Linked DNA regions of Caenorhabditis elegans. The protein of the gene in region 3 purifies or fractionates together with the protein of the main gene of each other region. This does not show direct contact. Each region holds a gene or a part of one and is shown on either strand. Other genes may lie near its edges. The genes, in order: rps-9, rps-19, rplp-2.1 and nol-58.

Region 1 (5,180 bases), on a different chromosome or scaffold from region 3:
GGTATGACTGAAAATTCACTTTTTCTGCTTGAACTTGGCGGTTTCGAATTTTTTTGAAATTCTGTTTTCAAATTCTGAAAGAACATAAAATTTGCTACAAAATGGTTACGGGAATTTTTGAAAAAGTTAGTTTGAAGCCAGAAATTAATTTTCAAAGTTTGGAAAATCTATTAATTTTGCATATAAATTGTGGTCTACAAGGTATGACTGAAAATTCACTTTTTCTGCTTGAACTTGGCGGTTTCAAAATCTTTTGAAATTCTGTTTTTAAATTTTGAAAGAACATAAAATTTGCTACAAAATGGCTACGGGAATTTCTAAAAAATTTAGTTTGAAGACAGAAATTAATTTTCAAAGTTTGGAAAATCTATTAATTTTGCATATAATTTTTATAAATTCTGAAAGAACATAAAATTTGCTACAAAATGGCTACGGGAATTTCTAAAAAATTTAGTTTGAAGACAGAAATTAATTTTCAAAGTTTGGAAAATCTATTAATTTTGCATATAATTTTTATAAATTCTGAAAGAACATAAAATTTGCTACAAAATGGCTACGGGAATTTCTAAAAAATTTAGTTTGAAGACAGAAATTAATTTTCAAAGTTTGGAAAATCTATTAATTTTGCATATAATTTTTATAAATTCTGAAAGAACATAAAATTTGCTACAAAATGGCTACGGGAATTTCTAAAAAATTTAGAAGACAGAAATTAATTTTCAAAGTTTGGAAAATCTATTAATTTTGCATATAATTTTTATAAATTCTGAAAGAACATAAAATTTGCTACAAAATGGCTACGGGAATTTCTAAAAAAGTTAGTTTGAAGCCAGAAATGAATTTTCAAAGTTTGGAAAATCTATTAATTTTGCATATAAATTGTGGTCTACAAGGTATGACTGAAAATTCACTTTTTCTGCTTGAACTTGGCGGTTTCAAAATTTTTTGAAATTCTGTTTTTAAATTTTGAAAGAACATAAAATTTGCTACAAAATGGCTACGGGAATTTCTAAAAAAGTTAGTTTGAAGAGATTTATGAATTTTCAAAGTTTCGAAAATCCACCTATTTTTGCCTATTAATGGTAGTTTTCATTAAATAATAAAATACGCACTAAAAGGTAGGGCTGAAAATGTACTATTTCTGTAACTACGTGAAGCTTCTTGTACCTTCTGTAATATTGTTGTATATTCTAAAAGAGCTCAGAATTTACTACAAAATTAAAAAAAAATTTCTTTCAAGATATTTATGAATTTTCAAAGTTACGAAAATCCATCTATTTTTGCCTATAAAAAAATGTTTGTTTGTTTTTTCTGGACCTTTTTTTTCCTTTTTTTTGGATGAAAAAATTCGCAAAAAATTTTCCCGTGGTGGAGAGTTGAACTCATCCCCTCCCCCCTCCCACCCCCCGGCCCAAGCAGTTAAACCGCTCCTAAACCGCTCCAAAAACCATTGCTGGCCACTTTTCTCCGTCATCCCGAGTCACGTTTTGTCCTTCTTCAGTACTTTCAAAGAGCATTTCCACAATCGGATCTCTTTTCATTTGTTCAAAATAAAATTTATGCCAAAGATCAATAGGCATAGCGGAAAATGCACTTGAAGCGCGCAGAGCTGCAGAAGAAAGAACCGGTTTCTGGCTATATTTCCCACGTGGCCAACGTGGAACGGATTGTTCATTTCTGTAAGCGCAGGAGCTCAATTCGTTAATAAGTTCCATGTATTGTGTTTGCTTGATCATCAGAATAACTTAATTTTGTGCCATTTTTTGTACAAAATCAATAGTTTTGGTCAAAAATGTATTGTTAAATTTTTGATGTGCGGAAAATCTACTTTTTTAAAAAAAATTTGCTGCACACCCCCGGCTTCCATGATTTTTATACTATTTCGATCAAGCCAGCGAAAGTTCTCCAGAAAAACCGCACTGGATTTTTTAAATTCAAATTTGCTCGGACGTGAACAACGGAATCGCACAATTGCTTGTAAAACTATTTCTTCCAAAAGGCTTTTTAAAAAATAAAACGAATCACTGGAAGACGTTATGTCCAACAATTTTATTTGTAACCAAAACAAATTTATTCCTCGTCGTCGCCTCCGGCTCCATCTCCCTTTCTCAAGGTGCGTCGCTTGACGCGTCCTGGACGGCCACCTCCGTATGGAGATTGAAGAGAGAAGTCGATGTGCTTCTGGGAGTCCAAACGAACGATGAAGGATGGGACATCGACAACTTGTCTGCGGACACTGAAAGAGAAGAATTTGAAGTCGATACTAATCTTGTAATTTGTCATGTCATCTTTCAGTGAAATAAATTTTTTAATGAAATATTCCGGACAATGACTACTGGATCAGTCTTCAAAATAGCGCAGGAATACCTAACTGGTTTAAATCGAAAAACATTTGTAAAAAATTAACTGCCAGAACAATCAATTTTCCGAAAGATGAATTTAATGTTAAAATGATAGTTCTAAAAACTGTTTCATTTTTAAATATATTTTTATACAGAAACAAAAACTAACCGGATGTGGTGCTGCTTGATCAAGATACGGGCGTGGTGGATAGACTTGGCAAGTCCGAGCTTGAAGACCTGGGTTTGGAGCCTGCGCTCAAGGAAGTCCTCGACCTTAAGACCGAGAACGTAATCGAGCTTCATCTTGGTCTCGTCGAGGACACCGATCTTGACAAGACGACGGAGAAGGGCATTTCCTTCGAAAAGACGCTTTGGATCCTTGTCTTCAAGAGTAAGAAGCTCACGAGCCGCCTTACGGACCTTGGCGAGGGTGTACTTGACACGCCAGACCTCACGCTTGTTCTTGAGTCCGAAAGTTCCGATGAGCTTGAGCTCCTGTAAAACAAAATTTTAAAATATAAATTTTACTTTGACATTTCAAACCTGGTCAAGGCGCTCCTTCTCGAACGGACGGCGTGGCGACTTTGTCACTTTAGATTGCACAGTCTTCAGACGTGCCATAGTTGAACCCTGAAAAAAATAAATAGAAAATTGAAGTTTGAGGCAGCAACAACGAAAACAGAGGGAAGCAAATTACAAATTAACGATAAAAATAACAATAATGTAATGAAAATTCATTTTTTTAATTAATTTTCTGACAATTTCATTCAAAAATTCAGCGATTTTCCCAAAAAATAATAGAAAAAAAGAAAAATTGTCAGGTTCGGCCTAAAAGAGTGGGGACGACTACGGTCGGTGGTCGTTGCGGGACCCACCCGCGTAAATCGGTGTGCCTTTACCAGAGAAAAAACACCCTCTCATGCATGCACAGTCTCTCGTTTCTTTTCCATTCGGTTCTTTTTAATATTTTCCTGCTAATTTTAACGAGTCTATAGCAGTTTTGAGCTTATATAAATCTTAAACTCATATAATTTCAATAAAAATTAGTAAAAATAACGTTTACCAACGAAAAACACTATCAGGAACTGGCATTCAATGTTAAATATTCATGATTTAAGCCTTTGCCCGTGTTTTTAACCGAAAATTCCACTTATTGTTTGAAATCTCTTCGAATTCAATGTTTTATTCGTATTTTAATCTAATTTTTTCGTTTTCAGATCATGGACTTGCCCGATCCCTATTTACCCGGAGCAATAAGCTTGTTCGAGCAGCTTGACAAAAAATTATTAGTTGTTCTCCGCGACGGACGGAAATTGATTGGCTTCTTGAGATCGATAGATCAATTTGCCAATCTTATATTGGAAGATGTCGTAGAACGCACATTTGTTGAGAAATACTTCTGTGAAACGGGTCAAGGATTCATGCTTATTCGCGGAGAGAATGTTGAGCTTGCTGGAGAAATCGATGATACCATTGAGACTGGACTTACGCAGGTTTTTAAATGATTTTTCTATAATCTATCTCTTAATAATTTATCCTTTCAGGTGTCTCCCGAAGAATTTCGTCGGCTGGAGGATGAGTATATTGCCAAAAATCCGCCAAAGTTCCTAAAACGACAAGCAGAGAAAACAGAAGAACACGATGCATGAATCTGTATTCTGAAAAAAGAAAACACGTCGCACGGGTTGATTCTACATCTCGATTTTCAATTTGAAATTTCCCTTTCTTGTGCTATGTTTGTTTGAAATTTTATGTAATTCCTTGATATTCTGACGAGAAGTAAACTAATTTGATTCAATTTCAAAAATGTTTTGATTTCTTTTTTTTACTTGAAGGTGTTATGATCTGAATATATATCGGAGGATTGCTTTCAACTTCCAATTCCCATCGAAGCCGTATTTAGAAGATCCAAGGACTCGGGTTGCAACTGTATGCGTAAGTTTATTTGTTTTTGGGCAACGCATCAAAATCTTACAGCTTCTGTTCATCTCAAATAAGTTGCTTGGCGCTCTAATCTGCTCGCAAATGCATGCCTAATGCAGCCAAATCTCCACAGAAAACGAGGAGAAATCGATAGAGCGGTGGTGCTTGCTTCTCTTTCCTCTCGCTTAACCAAAAAAGCTTGCATTTTCGTGCTAAAACGTGTCAGTTATGCATATTTTATACTTACCGTATATTCTCTATTAGTGCTACATCTCCAGTAGTACTGCAGTCTCTAATAGTGCTGCATTCAAAAAGGGTCCGAAAAATAGTGCTGCAGTCTCTATTAGTGCTGCACCACATTTTCTATTGAAAGAGTCACTTGATAGTTTCGATATTTTTGGGTATTTTTTTGTATATTTTTGATGAATTTTTGATAATTTACGAGAGTAATTGAATTATGGGGTCTTTTTGTTACAAAAGTTCGCAATTTTTATGAATTTCTGCTAAAAAAAGAGCTTTTGTGTCTAAAAACTAGTGATCTAAAATTGAAAATAGTTGTTCGAAAATTAATGCTGCAGTCTCCAGTAGTACTGCAGTCTCTAATAGTGCTACATTAAAAAAAGGGCCTGGAAATTAGTGTTGCATGCAGCACTAATAGAGAATAGACGGTAATCGTTCCTCCCCCGCTCCCCCGAACAGTCAAATATTCTATCGAAACATTTCAGTTGCGTTCGCTCTCCACGCACTTATCCGCTCTTCTCATCGTCTGAGTCTCTCCACTCTTCATTCAACCCGTCAGAGTGTTTCATTCGGCACGTTAACTCGAAACGACATGCACAACGTGGTTTTTGTTCTCGGGCCTCCTGGATCTGGAAAAGGAACTATTTGCGCTAAAATTCAAGAGGTGAGTTTTTC
Region 2 (5,317 bases), 2.8 Mb from region 3:
TGAAGGGTAAAGAAGGAGAACATAAACAGGTGAAGGTCTACCAGCTTTGGCATTTTGACTTCTCTGAGCAACACGATGGACGATATTTCTGTAGAAGGTAAATTCTATGAAAATTGCCCTTTCTGAAAAATAAGCATTGCAGTTATATCAAGAAGGTTGTACCTGAAGATTGGCCAGTCCAATACCCAACAGCTACAAACCCGTTCCACGAGGAGTTGGGAAATCAAGGATGTATTCATGAAACCGCTCAGTATCTTTCCCAATTCATCAACATTCACGACGCGAATTTTGTCGAAAAACTAGACATTGATGTCAAATACTGGTCTCAGCTCTTCTCTATCGAAAAGTTCAGACACATCCGAAATCTCAGAATAGTGCACAATGCGCCTGGATCAACACATTGGTGGCTGAACAGAATTAACACAATGCGAACTATTCCAGAAGTAACAATTGCGCGAAACTATACTGGAGACTTTGTTGAGGAAAAGGAGTATCGTAGTAGAAGAAATGCAGTCATGCACCATGAAGTTATGCCGTACGTGATTCCATTCGAAGAACGTGAGATGCCGAATTGGGTAGAGAAGACTTCGTATTGCAATTATCCGGTAAGATATTTTTAAAATATTATGCCGATTTAAATAAAACATCGTATTTTCAGATCTTCTGGGCGAAACGAATCATCTTTGAGAATACTATTGAGAACCCTCTTACCGATTTGGCAAGAATGAGCTCGTTGGCTGAGGTCAACTTAAACCGTTATATTCTTCCGAATTCGGAACTTCTCGAATTTCTCCAAATGTGGTCAAACGGACAGATGGGTCACCGTCTGCGGAGTGTCACTATCAATCTCGATTGCCCGTTATCAAAGAGCGAACCGATTTTGAATGGTCTCCAATATTCGAAGACAAGCGATATTGAGTTGTGAGGAATCAGTTCTTTGTGGCAGTTTTGATTATTCTTAATTCAGATCGTCTCCGCTTACGAAGGCTGTTGAAAAGAACAACTATATTTCGTACGTTCTATATCGTGAGTGGAAAGTGTTGCGTCCCGATGGCCTGCAATCGACACGTGGTTTTCAAAAAGAATCTCTTTCGTCTGGGTATGGAAGCTCTCTTCCTGGTTCCGGACCTTCGACTCCTCCATCGGAATCAAATATAGAAGAAGCAGGAGTTACTCCGACGAACGCCGAATCCAAAAACATGTCCTCAGGGCAGCACAGTAAACAAAACTCAAGTGATGAGACTCAATCTCGAGGTTTATTTCTAGATAATTATTTCTAGTTAAAAGTTGAATTTTTAGACCGATCTGGTTCGGGTGTATCAGGAACTTCATCGAATGGCGAGGTATCATCTACTCCGGGTAGGACTGTTTGGCACGGAGGTGCGTGTGCATTGCTCCAGATTTCCCAAGATAAGAAGAACATTTTGTTCACGGCAATTCACAACGAGAAGTTCGCATGCGAACTTGCTAGATTCCGCTTTTCTACATCTAAATAAATGTCCACCAACATTCATTTAAAAATTGTATCTATCGTTGTATGATAACTAATCTTTAAAATTTTTCCGACTTCCAATTGATCGCAAGTTTGTGAAACCATAAATAGCTTAACCCTGTATTTTATTTTCTTTATCAGAAATGCCTTTCGCGATGTTTAGCGAAATAATTTGGGTATCAGAATAGGAAGTTAGTTTCTGCTAATAATGTTTCAAATTTGATTTCGGAAGAGCAAGTAGATATATTAATGATTGTATTCAAGTTCTGTAGCTTTGTTCTAAGGTCCACTAAAGACGTATAATATTTTGTAGACTGATTATTTCACTATTCAAAAAAGTGAGAACTATACAGGTGTATATATTCAAACGTTTCGGGCGAAGTTTTTCTTTAATAACTTTTTTTTCTGATTCATAATTTGCGCCATCATCTTACTTTCTTGTTAATGGAGATGTATCATGAAGTTTTTTATAACAACAACATTTATAACACAAACAACGAGTGTTTAGGCTTGTTGTCCAGAGGATCTGAGGCTGGTGGCGATTCTGTCAAGATCCTTGCGTCCCTGCAAAATTTAGTTTTAGTACGATGTTGAAAATTTCGAGAAAATTCAAAAAAGAAAACATGCAGAAATTTAATTTTAATATAAACATCTAATTTTGCATGTTTAATTTTCAGCGCATATATTTATGAATAATTTTTAATAATTTATTTTTACAAAAAAGTTCGAATTTTATATTTTTAGATAATAAAATAGAATACTCACCTGCTTGGAGAGAATTCTTCCTTTGCCGTCTGGGTGCTTCTCAACCCACTTGATCTTCTCGAGTTGCTGAACAGCCTTTCTGAGGCAGTTTCCAGCTGAGGTTTGGAAATGGTTTGGTGCAACACCACGTCTCTTGTTTCCTCCGTAGACCTTCTTGAAGGCTCCGATTCCTAAATAGAAAAATAAGTAATGATTTTGTCAATAAAAAGTTACCGGCGGGGCGGAAATACAAGTGACGAGCAAGACTGGCAGCACGGGTGTAGAACCAATCTGGATCGACTGGGGCAAGCTCCTTGTTGACTCCGAGCTTAACAAGATCGGACCACTCTGGAACCTTAACCTTTCCACTCTTCTTCAAGAAGTGAGCGATGGACTTGGTAGCCTCGTGCTGGTCGACGTCCTTGATGGAGGTCGCTCTCGTCATTTTACCTGAAAAGGAAAAGTATAGCTTTGAAAAAATCGTATATTAGAAGACGGAAAGAAAACCCACTGCCAAAAAAACTATTCTTAACAACAAGCGCTTCAGAAAGTGGATATTATTTAAGAAAACTGTAAACGTAACATATTTCCTCCCAATCAATACATAGAAACTCGAAAAACCGTGAAAATCGCGTCAAAAAATTGAAAAAACCTGTAGGAAAAGAAACGAAAAAATTCTTCACCGCTGATCGTAAGACATAACCTGCATACCAATTGGCTGCGTAGCGACTCGGCACGCGACCGCAACGCACCGGGCGACACTCAGTACATTTTTTGAACAGCGGGGGCGGGCGTTTGAATTGAATTTTCAAACGATTTTTTTTGACGTCGTAACTTTTTGTTTCGCAGACACTTTTACGCTTAAAATGGCAAAATTAAACACATATGTTACAGCATAGACTTGAAGAACTGAACTGCTTGGAGGAAAATGGCATCGTCTTCGAACACTATGGGTAATTTTTTCGATATAATAAGAATGTGAAAGGTTAATTAATATTTTTGCGGGTCAAGCATATAAAATTCAACCTTATTGAAATTAAGGTGGTCACTCGAAGTGAATATCGACTCTAAAAATTAAACTTAACTTACGTGAAGTTTTCCTTTTATTTTCTGTTTTCAGAATTCGAAGAAGACGACTCCACCGTCACACAGACAAGGTTACCTGCTTTTCGAGTATCCATACATATTTATCCCACTATTTCAGCCTCCCCACAACAACTTCAGTTCTGGATAAAAGTAGGAGTCTTTTTGGGAACTCTGCTGTGATTTCTGTAAGTCCAGTGTGTTTGTATTAATCTAAAATTTGCTTACTTAGACCCCAGCTAGAGATTCAACTCCTGATGGGCACATAGTCGATTCGAGTGTCATTACCAAGTCATCAGTTATCATAGAAGCGGAAGACGAGCCAGATGTAGCTGCCGATGTTACTGCACTTGATAAAGAAAAGGCAGAAGATGAGCCACAATGTTCAGCCGGTAAGGATGCTAAATCTGGAGAAAGCATGAACGACTCGGAAAAGTCTGAATCACCAATTGAAGAAGGAGAGGGAGAAACTTTCGAGAAAAAAATTATCTCGATGGATACTAGTGACGATAAATTAGACATTGCTGAATCGATTTCTGTTTCAAATGATACCGAGAAACCTGAAGAAAATGAAGAAAAGGTGGTTGGAGATGAAGATGAAGAAGATATTGATGATGTGCAAGAAGACGACGAAGACGAAGCTCCAAAAAAGAAAACTAAGGTTTGTTGATAATTCGAAAAACCTAATTTTAATCAATTAATATTGAAGAAGGCAGTGTCAACGTCAGATGACGACGATCTGCATGAAGATGATTCTCCAAAAGGAGGTAGTGTGAGCGACGAGAAAGAAGAACCAGAGAATGAGGACGATACAGAGGAACCCGAAAATGAGGTTGAAGTAGAAAGTCCAGTGAAAGAGCAAGCAGATAGTGGTGAACCTATTGAGAATGTTAATGATGACAAGGCGTCTGAACCAGGCGTTGGTGAGATTTCACAAGACAGTGTTGATGATTCTCAAAAAATTGGTCTCGATTCAAAATCGCCAGATGGAGAATCAGAAGCAAATGAAGAGAACCAAGAATCTCAATCTTCTAGCCGCAGCACTCGTCGCGCTAAAAGAGTTTCAGCAACTGTTTCGTCTACTCCTTCGTCAAACACTCCACGCCGTGGTGGTCGTGGGCAAAAATCGGAAGTGAATGCAGATGAAACGAAAACGCCCATTGTTAGTAACAGCACCCCCAGGCGTGGTCGATCTTCCAGGGGTGGAGACAGAGATGAAGTAATTGATCCTACGGAGAATGTTGTTGGCGACTCTGGCGTTGAAGAAACATCACCGCGCAAGGGAAGATCAAGACGCTCTGTTGCAACAGAAGACACATCTGTCACCGAGGAAGTTGAAAACACGGAACATCCAACTGAAGAAGAAACTCCGAAACAGGGGCGTGGAAGACGTTCAGCTGCATCTTCTTCAGCAACTTCGTCTGCAGTGCCAACACCGCGGTCCACAAGAGGAAGAGGAAGAAAGTCGCAAGCAAATGAGGAAAACTTGCAAGAAAAAGAAACCGAAGACCCTACAAAAACTCACGATACAAACCAAGCGAAGTCCACCCGAACTCCGCGAGGAAGGCGTTCTAATGCTGATGCTGAAACTATGGAAAGTGTAGAAGCTGAGAAAGTCGAAACTCCAACATCATCTCGTAGATCTACAAGGGCTAAGCCTCCTGCAAAATCTGCTCCGGTGACGCCGGCTGTGACAAATAAACGAACGACAGTTCGTGGAAGAAAGAAGCAAGGTTCTATCACAGAAGACCCTATCGAAGAAGCTGATGAGACTATTGAAGAAACTCTACCACAAAAGAAAGGTCGTGGAGCAGCTAAAAGTGCGCCTTCATCGAGCAAGAAAAGTGCAGAATATGATCCATATGATCTTGATACTGAAATGGAGCATCATCCAGAACCTTTGAAGAATATTCACGTGAGAATTAAAAATTAATGTTTATCTGTAATTTTGCTTGTTTTCAGATGGAAGTGCACAATTTTGGTGCTGTCAAGTATGCC
Region 3 (5,134 bases):
TTCATAAGGCTCAGTCACGTAGACAACTGAAGAAGGCATAGGATTGATTTATTCCGTAGCTATTCTATTTTCCTTTCTGTAGTATTCTCGCAATAAAATTTTTTATTGTGTGTTCAGTGATTTCAGAGATCTTATTAAAGTGAAAAAGCCATCAAGGTTGACGCATGCCTACGTTCTAACGTCTACCTCATACTTGCCTAGGTGCCTACCTCATGCCGTCTACGCCATACCTGCTTATATCTTTTCAAACCTACAGGAAGCTTAAAGCTCCCCCTGATGCCCTGACTATCTAAATCCTTGCCTTATGATGCCTGCCTACTTTTATGTGAAACAGTTTTTATTTATTTTTTAAGTATTTTGAGATGTGCGTACTGTTTGGTTGTGAAAATTGCAAATTGTAATTGGTGAATTTTTATCTTGAAGAATTGAATTGTATACGTTAATGATAGAACAACTATTGTACAAGATACTTAATCGCGTACTAAATATAACATAAGTGTAGAAACGAAAATTTATGTCAAGTACAAACAGGTATGCGTCTTTAAGGAGTACTGTAGCTTTAAAACTTTCGTTAACGAGGAATTTCCATCGATTTTTCATAGTTTTTGTCACGACTTGTTAAGTAAAATGTATGTTTCTTTTTTAATTGTTAAAATGTTAGTTTTTTAATGAGTACATATGTTTTTTTTCAACGAAAAGCTATGAAAAATCGGTGAAAATTTGTACTTTAAAAGTACTTTAAAAAGCGCAAACCCGTTTGTATTTGACAATAATTGTCGTGTCGAGACCAGGTACCGTATTTTTGGCACAAAATGGCAAAATTTTGCGTCTGAGCAATAGCAGTTAACAATTCCACGAGCCTAAATTCGAAAAATCCTTTCAACTTCTATAGGAGTTTTTTTCAAAGTTCCGATGCATCCTTTGTCTGTAAGACTTTGGAGCTCCTAGATTGTCCTGGAATGATTTTCTTTCCGTTAGAGGCCAGTTACAATAGTTTCTAGTAAAGTTCAACAATTTTATTCCTGAAAGACTAATTCAGTTTAAATTTAACAGTTATTGGAATTTTAATTCAAATACTTTCGCAGTATTGAATCCGTAATGTTCCTTAATGACGTATCCTGGAAGTGAAAACTCGGCCAATTGATTTTTGGTGAACTTCGTTTTGTATCTGTAAACCGAATTTATGAGGTTATGAGAAACATTTTCTATTTGAAAATGAAATTGCAAAGTATTCACCGTTGCAAGTATTCGGATTCGGCTAGTGGATGACGATCGGGGTCACCAACAAGTACTCTGACCATATGTGCATCTTGAATTCTGTAGAATTTAATTATATGTTTTTGCACCAATTTTGAGATATTCCTACTTTTTAAGCCACGAAAAAAGAAGTTCAGCAAAGTCAGAATCGTAAAACATGTCACCTAGGAGAATGAATTTTCTGATATTTTTGGAGTCAGTGAAAAATTGAGTGGACATTCTTTCATTTTTATCATCTAAAAAATTGATCGAAGAGTATTGAATCTTTGAATCTCTTAAATTGTTCAGATGGAAATTGAGCTTCGTGGATAGAAGTGCATCTGAAATAAGTAGCTCATTCTACACTGATTAACTTCAATCTCAAAAACAAACATCTATCAATGTCGTTTGCTAGAATCTTCTTCGCTCCACAAATAGAAGCAGATATCGAGGCTGAACCACAGCCGGCGCCGAAGTCGACAATTTCTGATCCTTGAAACAAAGGTTTATTATCAAGAATGAACCTTGATAGGCCTTGGCCGCCAGGCCAATAGAATGCCCAATAGGGATCTGGAAGAGGACAAGCATCGGGAGTGCTCATCCACAGTGGACTAGCAATTGTAATAAGATGAAGATTGATTTCTGGAGTTAGACTTTCATTGCTAACTATTGTATTTCGAATCATCCATTTCGCAGCAGCATTTAGGCTGGGCTTCAACATGATCACTCTTTGATTGCTAAATGTAAATTCCGGATTGTTTGTTCGAGACTCAAAAATTAGATAAATTCATATAACGGCATTTTCCCCAAAGTTTCAAACAATTCTACATCGCGACTTTCGAGCAAATTTTTTTAAATCGTTCATTGAATGACGAATAACAACTTTAACAACACATTTAGTCGAAGAGACCGAAGCCCATGTCGTCGTCGGATTCCTCCTTTGGCTCCTCCTTCTTCTTCTCTTCGGCTGAAACATTTGAATTTAAAAAAAATAGGGATCTTCTGCGTACCCAGATAAAAAATTACTACTGCGGAGCACATAGTATTCAAAATCTCTTACTTGCTTAAATTTTTAAGTGACTCACGCCACCTGTACTGCTTCGAAATTTTAAATCGTGCTCCGCAATGGATTATTTTTAAATGTGGGTCATAATTAGTGAAACAAAACTTGCCTTTTGGTGCGGCTCCTCCTGATGGGGCGGCAGCAGCTGGGGCAGATCCGCCTGATGGGACCGAGCTGAGCTTGACCTTGCCCTGGGCGATAACCTCGGAGATAGTCTTTCCCTTGAGGGCATCGACGACGGAGTTGGCGTTCTCCATGTCGCAGTCGAGACCTCCGGCTTCTGCAATATAAGTATTTATATCGGAAAAACGTGATATAAAACTTACCGAGGACCTTAAGGACATCTTGTGCAGATGGGGAGGCATTTCCACCGAGGGTGGCGAGAAGATAAGCTCCCAAGTACTTCATGGCTGAAAATATAAGTTTAACAGGTCCAAAATTTTGATAAGAAAACAAAATAAGTTGTGAATAAACGTGTTCAGATAAAGAAGCTAGAAAAATAAGTTTGTAAAAAACTATTTATTTATTTTATCAAAAAGTTCCAATCAAAAGAAAAAATAAACCACTCCGACAAATTCGCGATGGAAGATAAATTCACTATGACTTCAGAAAACATTAATTCGTTATTTTCTGAACAAATTTTAAAGCACTATCATTTTAAACAAATTAATTTTTAAAAAAGGTGTAACAAACGGCCATTTTCAGTTAAAAACTCGAAAAAAGAGGCAAAAAATTTAGGATTTCATGAGTTTCGAAGGAGAAAAGAGAGTGCAGACACAGAAGTCTATCCGAGACGCCAGTTCGGGTACGGTATCACTCGTTTCACGTGTGCGATATTTTAATAATTGACCAATTTACGCAAATTGGCTCGATTTTCAGCCATTTTCAGCAAAGAGCACTTTCACGTCAGTTCTACTGTCTGATGCTTTATAAAAATTTGATAACTTAATACACTGCATTAAAGCATCATCTAAAAGTGAAGAATTCCGTTATCGATTTTTGAAGTCGAATCTGTAATGTAATTTACAATTTCAAAAGTTCCATATTTCATAGCTACATCTTTCTTTTATTAGTCTGTTATGTTGATATCTGCTTTTAAAAAAGCCTGAATGATTGCAGACATTGAGTAATCGGTTGAGTATCAAATCGACCGCGACGCGGTGGTGCTGCGTCGCGGTCGCGTTACGACCGTGAGTGTCCGCCGTTCTTTCGGAACCGCCGAACTGCCATGCGCAAACTACGTCATCAGGATAGTTTCTGATTTTCAGATATTCCATTTTTGACTTTTGGGTGCAAGAAGAACAGCTTTTCGACGTCCCTATCGCATTTCTCTACCAAAACTCCGCCCCATTATTGATTTTCCTTGCACTTTTCCCTTCAGGCAATTCAAATTTCGCGCCGTAGAAAACTAAAATACTTATCAGTTTTGGCTTAAATTTCAAAAAACTTTTTACAGTAAAGGAGAAACGAACTATTTATAATTCCCCAAGACTATATTTGTTAGAAAAATCTTCTTCGTTCAAAAGTTCTCTTAAGTAGATATCAAGTCGTTATAAATTGATTTTTATGCTATTTTGATTAAAATTCTCTGACTATGGTTTTTCGAATAATCTGATAATTGGTCCGACGAATTCAATTGTTATATTTGCAGAAAATTTCAGAAAAAATAGTTGGCGCTGAATGGTCGTGTCGGTCGATGCGGGGAGCAGCGTCTGCCTCAGCACATACTTCTTCTGCGGCTTCCTCAACGTGGTCCACAATTCCTCACTCACGTACACCGCCGCTTCAATCTAGTAAGCTTTGATTTAAAAATTGCAAAATGCACGTTAAATTTTCAAAAAAATTTCCTGAAAAACGAATTTTTGCTTTTTTTTGGATGAATTAATTTACTTCTCAAGATTAATTAGAATTTTTGAGATTTGCAATCTTAGATGTCGTGTAATTATATCAGACTTGCCGCTCAGCCATTTTATAAATTTCCAGACATCGAAAAGGTGGGAGATATTGTGCGACCGTCTTCAGCGACCGCACTGCTCTCCTCTCTGTCCACCTCATCGTCAGGCATCGGTGAGTCTCTTCGGAGTCCCAGTGCCGAGATATCAATGACTTCAGAAGCGAGTACGTCTTGCGCAAGTACTCCAACAACTGCAAACACGTTGCCACCGCTTATCGAAGAGTCGTCAGTTGAGGACGAGACGGCTGACGGAGTCGGCATCGCGACTGAAAAGCTGGTGAAAAGCTTGATTGTTGTTCCGTCGCCGTCGGACACAGCTCGTGTCACGTCGGCGATTTCCAATGATACAGTGGCGAGTGGAAAGACGAACGAGGAGGATCGAAAAAGTATCGGTAAGCATTGTTTTCTCGATCGCATAGTTAGTATGTTGACCCTGTAGCTTTCAATCTGGAGCATTGTCTTCCTAATCAACTTTGCATCCTATCTATCGTTCTTATCCAATAGTTTTGTCAGTTTGTATGACCTAAACGGAATAGTTTGTAAGTAGTTTAATTCTGTCAAAACTGTAAGATCGATCTGTTAATTTCGAAAAAAGCAGCGTCTCACAGAAAGATAGGCGGGGCACAATTTCGCATGGCACGGTTTTTCTACTGCAGTTTTGTTGATTTCTTCGATAAAGTTTCGGTTTTACTTTTTTTCGAATGAAAAATGTTTGCTAAATTGATTGTAAAAACATGAAACGTGCTCACAATCTCATGATCATTAAATTGGATATAATTTTCGTTCGAAAAAAAGAATAAAACAAGTAAAATTGTAAATTTTGTGGAAAAAAATCAGCAAAAAACGCTGGATAACGGACGAAAAAACCATTCCGGGGAGTT
Region 4 (6,588 bases), 3.5 Mb from region 3:
CCTACAACTACAGTACCCAGCACAACTTTGGAGCTTATCACTGAGCCAACTTCCACTGAAAGTAATCGATTTGTTTATCAGATTTCAAAAATCAGCACTCCTTGATGTTTCAGCGATTCCAATAACTACAACGACAGCAGAAACAACCACAACAACATCTGAAGAGCCTACAGTAACCGAAGAAACGACGACGGAGCTCGTCACTGACGTCACAATTGCTCTGCCAGACGAGGAATTTGAAGATATTAACGCAAAAATCGAAACGGAGAACCATCAGTTGCATCAGATAGAGGAGAATGTTATTTCAGGTAGGTCAAGTGGCCTAGAAATTCGCAAGTTAGGCCACCAAACGATTTAGGTTTTCTAACTAGAAGGCCGCGTAAAAAAATTAGTGAAAATTCGGCCAGCCATTCTCCTTTAATTTTACATGCTTCCGTTTGGAGTGTGGTCGAGGTTTCTTACTAGAAAACCTAGGCCACGGTAAAGTATTTAATTTTAACTGTTTTATATCAGTAAAACATTCGGGAGAATGAAAAATGAATATTGCTGAAATTTTAACGGTAATTTTCGAAAAAAAAAACACAATTTTTTAACTCTCACCACGATTTCTATGAAATTCAAAGTTCGTGGCAAGACCCAGATTGAAAAAAAATCGATGATTTCCAGCCCTATCCACGCCAACATCTACAATATCCGCATCACCAAGTCCACCATCACCACTTCCGACGACTTCTGGTCCATCACCACCATCACCACCTGCGCCTCCACACGAATTCTCTCTCCATGGGGCCGGGCCGCCCGGTTTAATGCCTCCATCGGATGATATTGTCGACGAATTGAATGGTTCTTCTGATTTCTTGCAGGCCGCTCAGAGGCTTCACTTGCTCAGAAGACTTCTTCAATGATTTATGTGTAATGAGCATCATAATAATCATCAGAATAACTTTCCAGATACTCAAAAAGTCGTTTAGTTTAGTGTTTTTTGTGATTTTTGAAGATTTCTTAATATTTTCAACCCATTTGTTGTTACGGGTTTATGAGTCGATTCCAGTGAATAAAGGTTTTTTTAATTAAATATTTATTTTTTCCTTTTGTTTGACTTAAATTTTGTTTCAGAATCGTTTGAAAAAACTTATAGTTATGTAATTAAATTTAATAAAAAAACAAACAAAATCAACTTTTAAAAAAACTACCGTATCCACTTAAAGGCGCATCCCTCATAGATATGGGTATATATATATCATGATATGGGTCTTACCACGCTTAACCTCTGCGCCTTTAAACAAAGGGTACGGCAATTAAACAGTTTCAATTTTTGATTTTCTCATGCTTTTCTCGATAAGATAATCCCTGAAAATAAAAGCTTTTTGAAACCAATTTTTATCTCAACATTTTTTTTTGGAAAGGACAACATAACAAATAAGGAAAACAACAAGGGCAAAGAATTGTAAAAAGAAAAAACAAGTGATTACGATAAAAATTAATTTGAGGAGGAGACAGTTTTTGTGTTTGAAGAGATTTCAGATAGAATGTGTTAACAATGGGGAAAATCTGATAAACCTGATACTAGCAAGAAATAACGAGTCAAATCAACAAGAACATACAGTCTTCGTGGTACAGAAACACGAATTACAACAAAAGAAACGGATTATCACTCTCGTCGGCACCCCAATTGCATCTATTCTTCATCAGAATCAGTATCGGCCTTCTTTGCTTTCTTTTCCTTCTTCTTCTTTTTCTTCTCTGGCTCTGCTTCATCTTCCTCCTTAACCTCTTCGATCTTCATCTTCTTGATTGCGTTCGTGCTTTCCTCGTTATCATCGAATCTCTTGTGCTTGCGACTGGCTGGAGTGTCAGCAGACGCGTCGTATTCGTATGTTTCACTCTTGAACTCGTACTTGTCGTGTCGGTGGGATCCAAAGCTCTTATTTTTGGATGGCCCACGTTCTGATTCGGTTCTGAGCACGTTCTCAAGGGCGGCACGGCATTCGATTCCGATCTCGTTGGTGGCGGATTCGTCGGAAAGTGCGTCGATACGAGTGGCAAGAGAGCACTTGGCAGCGAGCTTACGAGCCATCTGGAATTAAAAAAAAAAAATTTTTAAGGTCCTTGCCGATTTTTAAGTTTAACAGAAAAATCAATAAAGTATTTAACTAACCTTTCCCTTGACCTTTGGTGGGGCTTGTGTGATAAGTTGAGCGTGGTAGATCAATCCGTACTTTGGAGTATCCTTCTTCGTCTTGAGAGCACGGAAAAGAGCCTTCTCGGCTCCAAGAATTTGAATCGTCGAGGCTGGTGCCTTGGCCAACGAAACGAGAGATCCAGCGTGAGAAATGAGACGGGCTCCGACGAGCTCTCCGAGAAGAACTGTGAGATTTGGAGCGAGAGCAGTCATGCGATTTTTGAGGTAGTCGAAGAGTTGAGCACTGAAAAAATTTAAAAAATAATTTGTTTTGAATAAGAAATTGTATAAATTCACTAACCGGTAGGCAGAGAGCTCGATGACCTGGTCACAAAGACCCTTGATGTGAATGAGATCAATATCAGAAATGTCAGTTCCCATTGAAATCTCAGCATCCTCTTTGACCTTCTCCTCCAACTCCTCTGGAAGAATCGATGACAAATCGGTGTTGATGCAGTTCTGTCGCATGCCAATGGCCTTGATAATCTGAAAATTAAATAATTTAATACGGATAATTCACCACTGTGAGCCTACCTTAGCATAAGCTTGATGATCTTGGATAGTCTTTCCGAGCTCTGGGAAATGCCATCCGTACCATTCTCTGACACGCATAACATAGTTGTTCAACTCCTTGTCAAGATCATCGAGCAAAGAAACAGCCTGCACGATCATGGTGTCGATCTTTTCTGGGTTGAATTTGACCTTGTAACGAGCGAGCGAGTGAGCCACGGCGAGATTCATGGCATTCATCTCTTCCTTGTGCTCGGCGAGCAAGTCTTCGATATGAGCGCGAACTCCTCTCATCAGCTCGTTGATGGAACTGTCATGGACGCAATTCAAAGAGAGCTTCTCCTTGATCAAGTTTCCGAGCTTGGCATCACCGACAGCCAATTTTTCGGTCTCGTCGACGCTCGACTTCAAAAGCTTCTTTAACGTCTTGCTGAGCTTTCCCTCTGTGATCTCGGAAGTAGCCTCGACGGCTCCAGCGGTAGTCTTGAACTTCTTGAAAGAAACCAGTTGCAAGCTGTAAGAAAAACAGTTTTAAAAAATGAATTTAATTTCTAATATATACTTTTCTTGAGCCTTCTCGGCAGTGCTGAACTCCTCCCAGATGTTATCCACATTCTTCAGCTTCTTCTCATTGCTGAGCTTGAATACTGCATAACCGGCTGCGACCTCGAAAAGGACCAGCATCTTCTTACCTGTAAAATAGCAAATAAAGTAATGAACCGGTTAAGAGAATAAGGACATCATAAGATAAGATTAAAGACGTAAAATCGATATTTTTAAATTACACTCTGAAAATAAAGTTTTTAGACTGATTTTTCAACATTTCAGGGATATTTTTGACAAAACTACATTTAAATTATCATTTTATACACTTTCCTTCAAAAATTTAGATAAAAACTTGGAAATTTGGCTGAAATTATTCGAAAATAGGACCAGTTTAGCCAAAAAAAGAGGAGAAAATATCGCTGGCAGACAGCCAAAGAAAACAATCGTTGCGAGACCCGCGCGCGGGAGTTTGAAATCAACGCCTGTGTACTCCTCTCGGACAAGTCGTTCCACACAAATATTCTCGCAGATTAATCTGCAGATTTTCGTGTGATTAATTGATAAATCTGTGAAAAACTTCGAAACCGGATGTTTTTCTCGTGGAATGTTGCAGAACAATTGACTTCTTCGAAATTGGATCTTAAAAATGTAATTTTTTCCTTCAAAATATGAAAAAATACCGGCAATTTCCTTGCTTGCAAACTTTTTTATGGCGAAAAGAGAATTTTCGCCATATATTTCTGTATTTTGCACATTCTTCTCGTTGAATTATGCTTTAACATAGCTAGAATTGATTTTTCTTCGAAGCGAAAACCTTACAATTTAAAAAATCGATAATTAATATATTTCACGTGACATTTCGATTTTAACTTATTAAAAATTCAACTTTTTTCATATAATTCTAGAATTTTTGCTTGTTAAAAGCTTTTTTTTATCTTTAAAAATAAATCTCTTCGTTAATTGCTCTTTTTTGCCAGTTCACCGGTCGATTTTGCTCATTTTATCAGAAAATCAGTTCCCATAACTTTTCTGCAATTATTTTCTCGATTTTCTCCTCAAAAATTCAGAATTTCCAACCGGAAAATCCCCATTTAGAAGAAAGTATTGCGAAAACCCGAAAATTCGGTGCGAAACGCGTCAGCACTGCCCATGTTGACGCAAATCGGTTTTCTCGAACATTTTCGCAAAGCCGAGTGATTCATAAGGTCATGCCACTCACTTTTGACCCGCTTTTACCCGCATTTTTGATTTTCTGGAACGTATTTCCATAGATTTTTAGTTAAAAGTATAAATTCGCAACGAAGATTCAAAATTTAAATAGTCAGTGTAAATATCGATTTTTTGAAGATTTCGAAGAAAACCAATTAAATTGATTTTTTTCCAGAATGTACAACTACAACTACTCCCGAGGAAATAAATCGATGGGAAATCCGCCTCGATTTCACGAGTTAACGGATATGCCGGATAATGGAGCGTCGACGTCGGCGGCCGCTGGAATGTTCACAAGACAAGTGAGATTTTTGGAAGTTTCACGGAAATGGAGATCTGCGAAACATTTTTCTCGAAGAAAATATTATAACAATGCTCCGAAATCATCCCCTGAAAAAAATGCTAAACAAAACATTATGATGACAGAATTTACTGAAAAAGTTGAGGCTGCGACTCAGCTCAATTAAAAAAGTTATTTTTAATTTTTCGCTCATTTTAAGCAAAAAGAATCAGCTAAAACGTTGAAAAATCACTGGGCGAAAAAACGGAATAAAATAAATATTTTATTCGAGCCGCTCCGCTGTGCAGTTGCGTCGCGGTCATGGCCGCGGACTAGGTTCACAAATTTGAAATTCTGCCATCTCAAGAAATTAAAAAATTTTAAATTAAAAAATATTTTTCTTTGAAGAAAATTGCACCGTGCCAAATTTTCTTCAAAAAAATTTTAAAACGAAAAATTTCAGGACTCACTTGCTCTCGCCGCATCCCTCCAACAACGTGATCGGGAACGAAATCCTGTGGATTTTATGGAAACCCAGCTGGATCTGGATAATTATCTACAATGCTTTACCGATTTGGATGTTCCTGCGGATAATGTCGACTTAAATGATGCTGAACTTCAAAAAGCAAATATTCTCTACGATGATGACTCTTACGAGCAGCCGCAACTAAATCCATACGAACGGCACGTGGCTTATGGCCCCGGTTTTCGAAATCCCGGTGAATACGAGGAACAAGACGGATATAAAATGAATTTCGAGGTGAAGACCGAGGAGGAGAAGAAGCCGGAAACGATGAAAACTTCGAAAACTATGACAACTCGCCGAGCTATTAAACGACCTTCGTGTTACGACGATTATCAGGAAGAAGGAGAAACATCGCTTTCGGATAACGATGAAAGTGTCGATGATTCTTATTACAAACCAAAAAGTTCCAAAAAGACTGCTGCAGCGGTACCAAATTTCGTGCCAAAAACCAAGGCTCGAAAATACAATCTAAAGCCGGATAAGGAGAAAGTGGAGCCCATCTATAAATTGAAACGGGCTCGAAACAATGATGCCGTCCGGAAAAGTCGAAATAAAGCGAAAGAGCTGCAACTGCAGAAGGACGAGGAGTATGATGAGATGAAGAAAAGGATTACACAACTTGAAGCAGAACTACAATCCGAGCGGGAAGGCCGGGAACGTGACCAACAACTTATCAAGCAACTAATTCGCGAAAAGTGAGGTGCCAGTAGCGAATATTTCTATATTTTTTAATTTGGAAATTTTCAGGGAATCGACATCGAAAGGACCAAGGAAAAGCTCTCGAAATGCACTGGAAAGCTTTAATAAATCAAATTATTGATTCTTTTTTTCTTGATTGCTTCGTTTTAGATTCCATTTCTTATGTATCAATGTAATCGCACCCCTTCCCCGGTTGGAAAATAATTTTGAAATTACTCATTCCATTCTTAACCCAGTCTATGTTTGTGTAATAACATGTTTATATATTGCGAAAAATTGTATATTTATTTTAGGAAAAAAGAATTGACTAGAATACTGGGACATGGGGACAAAACATGGATTTCGAAAAAGAAAAAGAAAACCTGAACTTTGAAAGCTATACCCAAAATTATATATGAGAAATGAAAATTATACTTTACATAATGAAAGGAACAATTTTCTTCTCAAACTTCTTGAATTTCTCCAGCCTTTTCGGCGCCTTCACCGTCTCATCACACCGCCCATCAACACATTGACCCCAGTAACAAATAGGATAATCCTCGAATCCTCTGCAAACTCCGTTTCGACGAACTTTGCTCACACAGCTCGGCGGATGCTCGTTATTTGGAGGAATGTAGCAGAATAGATAACTGGAAA

What was found.
Region 1: the proteins of rplp-2.1 (region 3) and rps-9 fractionate together in Caenorhabditis elegans (co-fractionation; one large-scale study listed by BioGRID). This does not show direct contact.
Region 2: the proteins of rplp-2.1 (region 3) and rps-19 fractionate together in Caenorhabditis elegans (co-fractionation; one large-scale study listed by BioGRID). This does not show direct contact.
Region 4: the proteins of rplp-2.1 (region 3) and nol-58 fractionate together in Caenorhabditis elegans (co-fractionation; one large-scale study listed by BioGRID). This does not show direct contact.

The regions. Positions count from the first base shown.
Region 1 is NC_003280.10:11,123,391-11,128,570, forward strand, and holds rps-9 (Small ribosomal subunit protein uS4), read right to left. Parts: upstream 2,973-5,180; 5' UTR 2,964-2,972; coding exon 2,886-2,963; intron 2,838-2,885; coding exon 2,512-2,837; intron 2,237-2,511; coding exon 2,071-2,236; 3' UTR 2,038-2,070; downstream 1-2,037. Other genes in the region: lsm-1 (U6 snRNA-associated Sm-like protein LSm1), read left to right, coding at 3,563-3,835, 3,887-3,991; F40F8.1 (UMP-CMP kinase), read left to right, coding at 4,274-4,277, 4,991-5,169. UniProt on the Caenorhabditis elegans protein: Component of the small ribosomal subunit. The ribosome is a large ribonucleoprotein complex responsible for the synthesis of proteins in the cell. Part of the small subunit (SSU) processome, first precursor of the small eukaryotic ribosomal subunit.
Region 2 is NC_003279.8:9,623,111-9,628,427, forward strand, and holds rps-19 (Small ribosomal subunit protein eS19), read right to left. Parts: upstream 2,687-5,317; 5' UTR 2,682-2,686; coding exon 2,471-2,681; intron 2,428-2,470; coding exon 2,258-2,427; intron 2,057-2,257; coding exon 1,997-2,056; 3' UTR 1,958-1,996; downstream 1-1,957. Other genes in the region: T05F1.2 (F-box associated domain-containing protein), read left to right, coding at 1-97, 143-605, 659-921, 968-1,254, 1,300-1,496; Protein hsr-9, read left to right, coding at 3,165-3,189, 3,357-3,393, 3,441-3,507, 3,552-3,980, 4,029-5,234, 5,282-5,317.
Region 3 is NC_003279.8:6,787,030-6,792,163, forward strand, and holds rplp-2.1 (Large ribosomal subunit protein P2), read right to left. Parts: upstream 2,710-5,134; 5' UTR 2,708-2,709; coding exon 2,626-2,707; intron 2,580-2,625; coding exon 2,409-2,579; intron 2,204-2,408; coding exon 2,133-2,203; 3' UTR 2,010-2,132; downstream 1-2,009. Other genes in the region: acdh-5 (medium-chain acyl-CoA dehydrogenase), read left to right, coding at 1-41; etfm-1 (Electron transfer flavoprotein beta subunit lysine methyltransferase homolog), read right to left, coding at 1,054-1,168, 1,237-1,317, 1,367-1,577, 1,630-1,957; pqn-20 (Prion-like-(Q/N-rich)-domain-bearing protein), read left to right, coding at 3,996-4,092, 4,283-4,366, 4,412-4,645.
Region 4 is NC_003279.8:3,263,890-3,270,477, reverse strand, and holds nol-58 (Nop domain-containing protein), read right to left. Parts: upstream 3,385-6,588; 5' UTR 3,377-3,384; coding exon 3,255-3,376; intron 3,207-3,254; coding exon 2,717-3,206; intron 2,669-2,716; coding exon 2,484-2,668; intron 2,427-2,483; coding exon 2,159-2,426; intron 2,078-2,158; coding exon 1,679-2,077; 3' UTR 1,366-1,678; downstream 1-1,365. Other genes in the region: pqn-72 (Prion-like-(Q/N-rich)-domain-bearing protein), read left to right, coding at 1-61, 114-308, 667-905; Transcription factor zip-4, read left to right, coding at 4,624-4,749, 5,191-5,948, 6,001-6,073; tyr-5 (Tyrosinase copper-binding domain-containing protein), read right to left, coding at 6,368-6,581.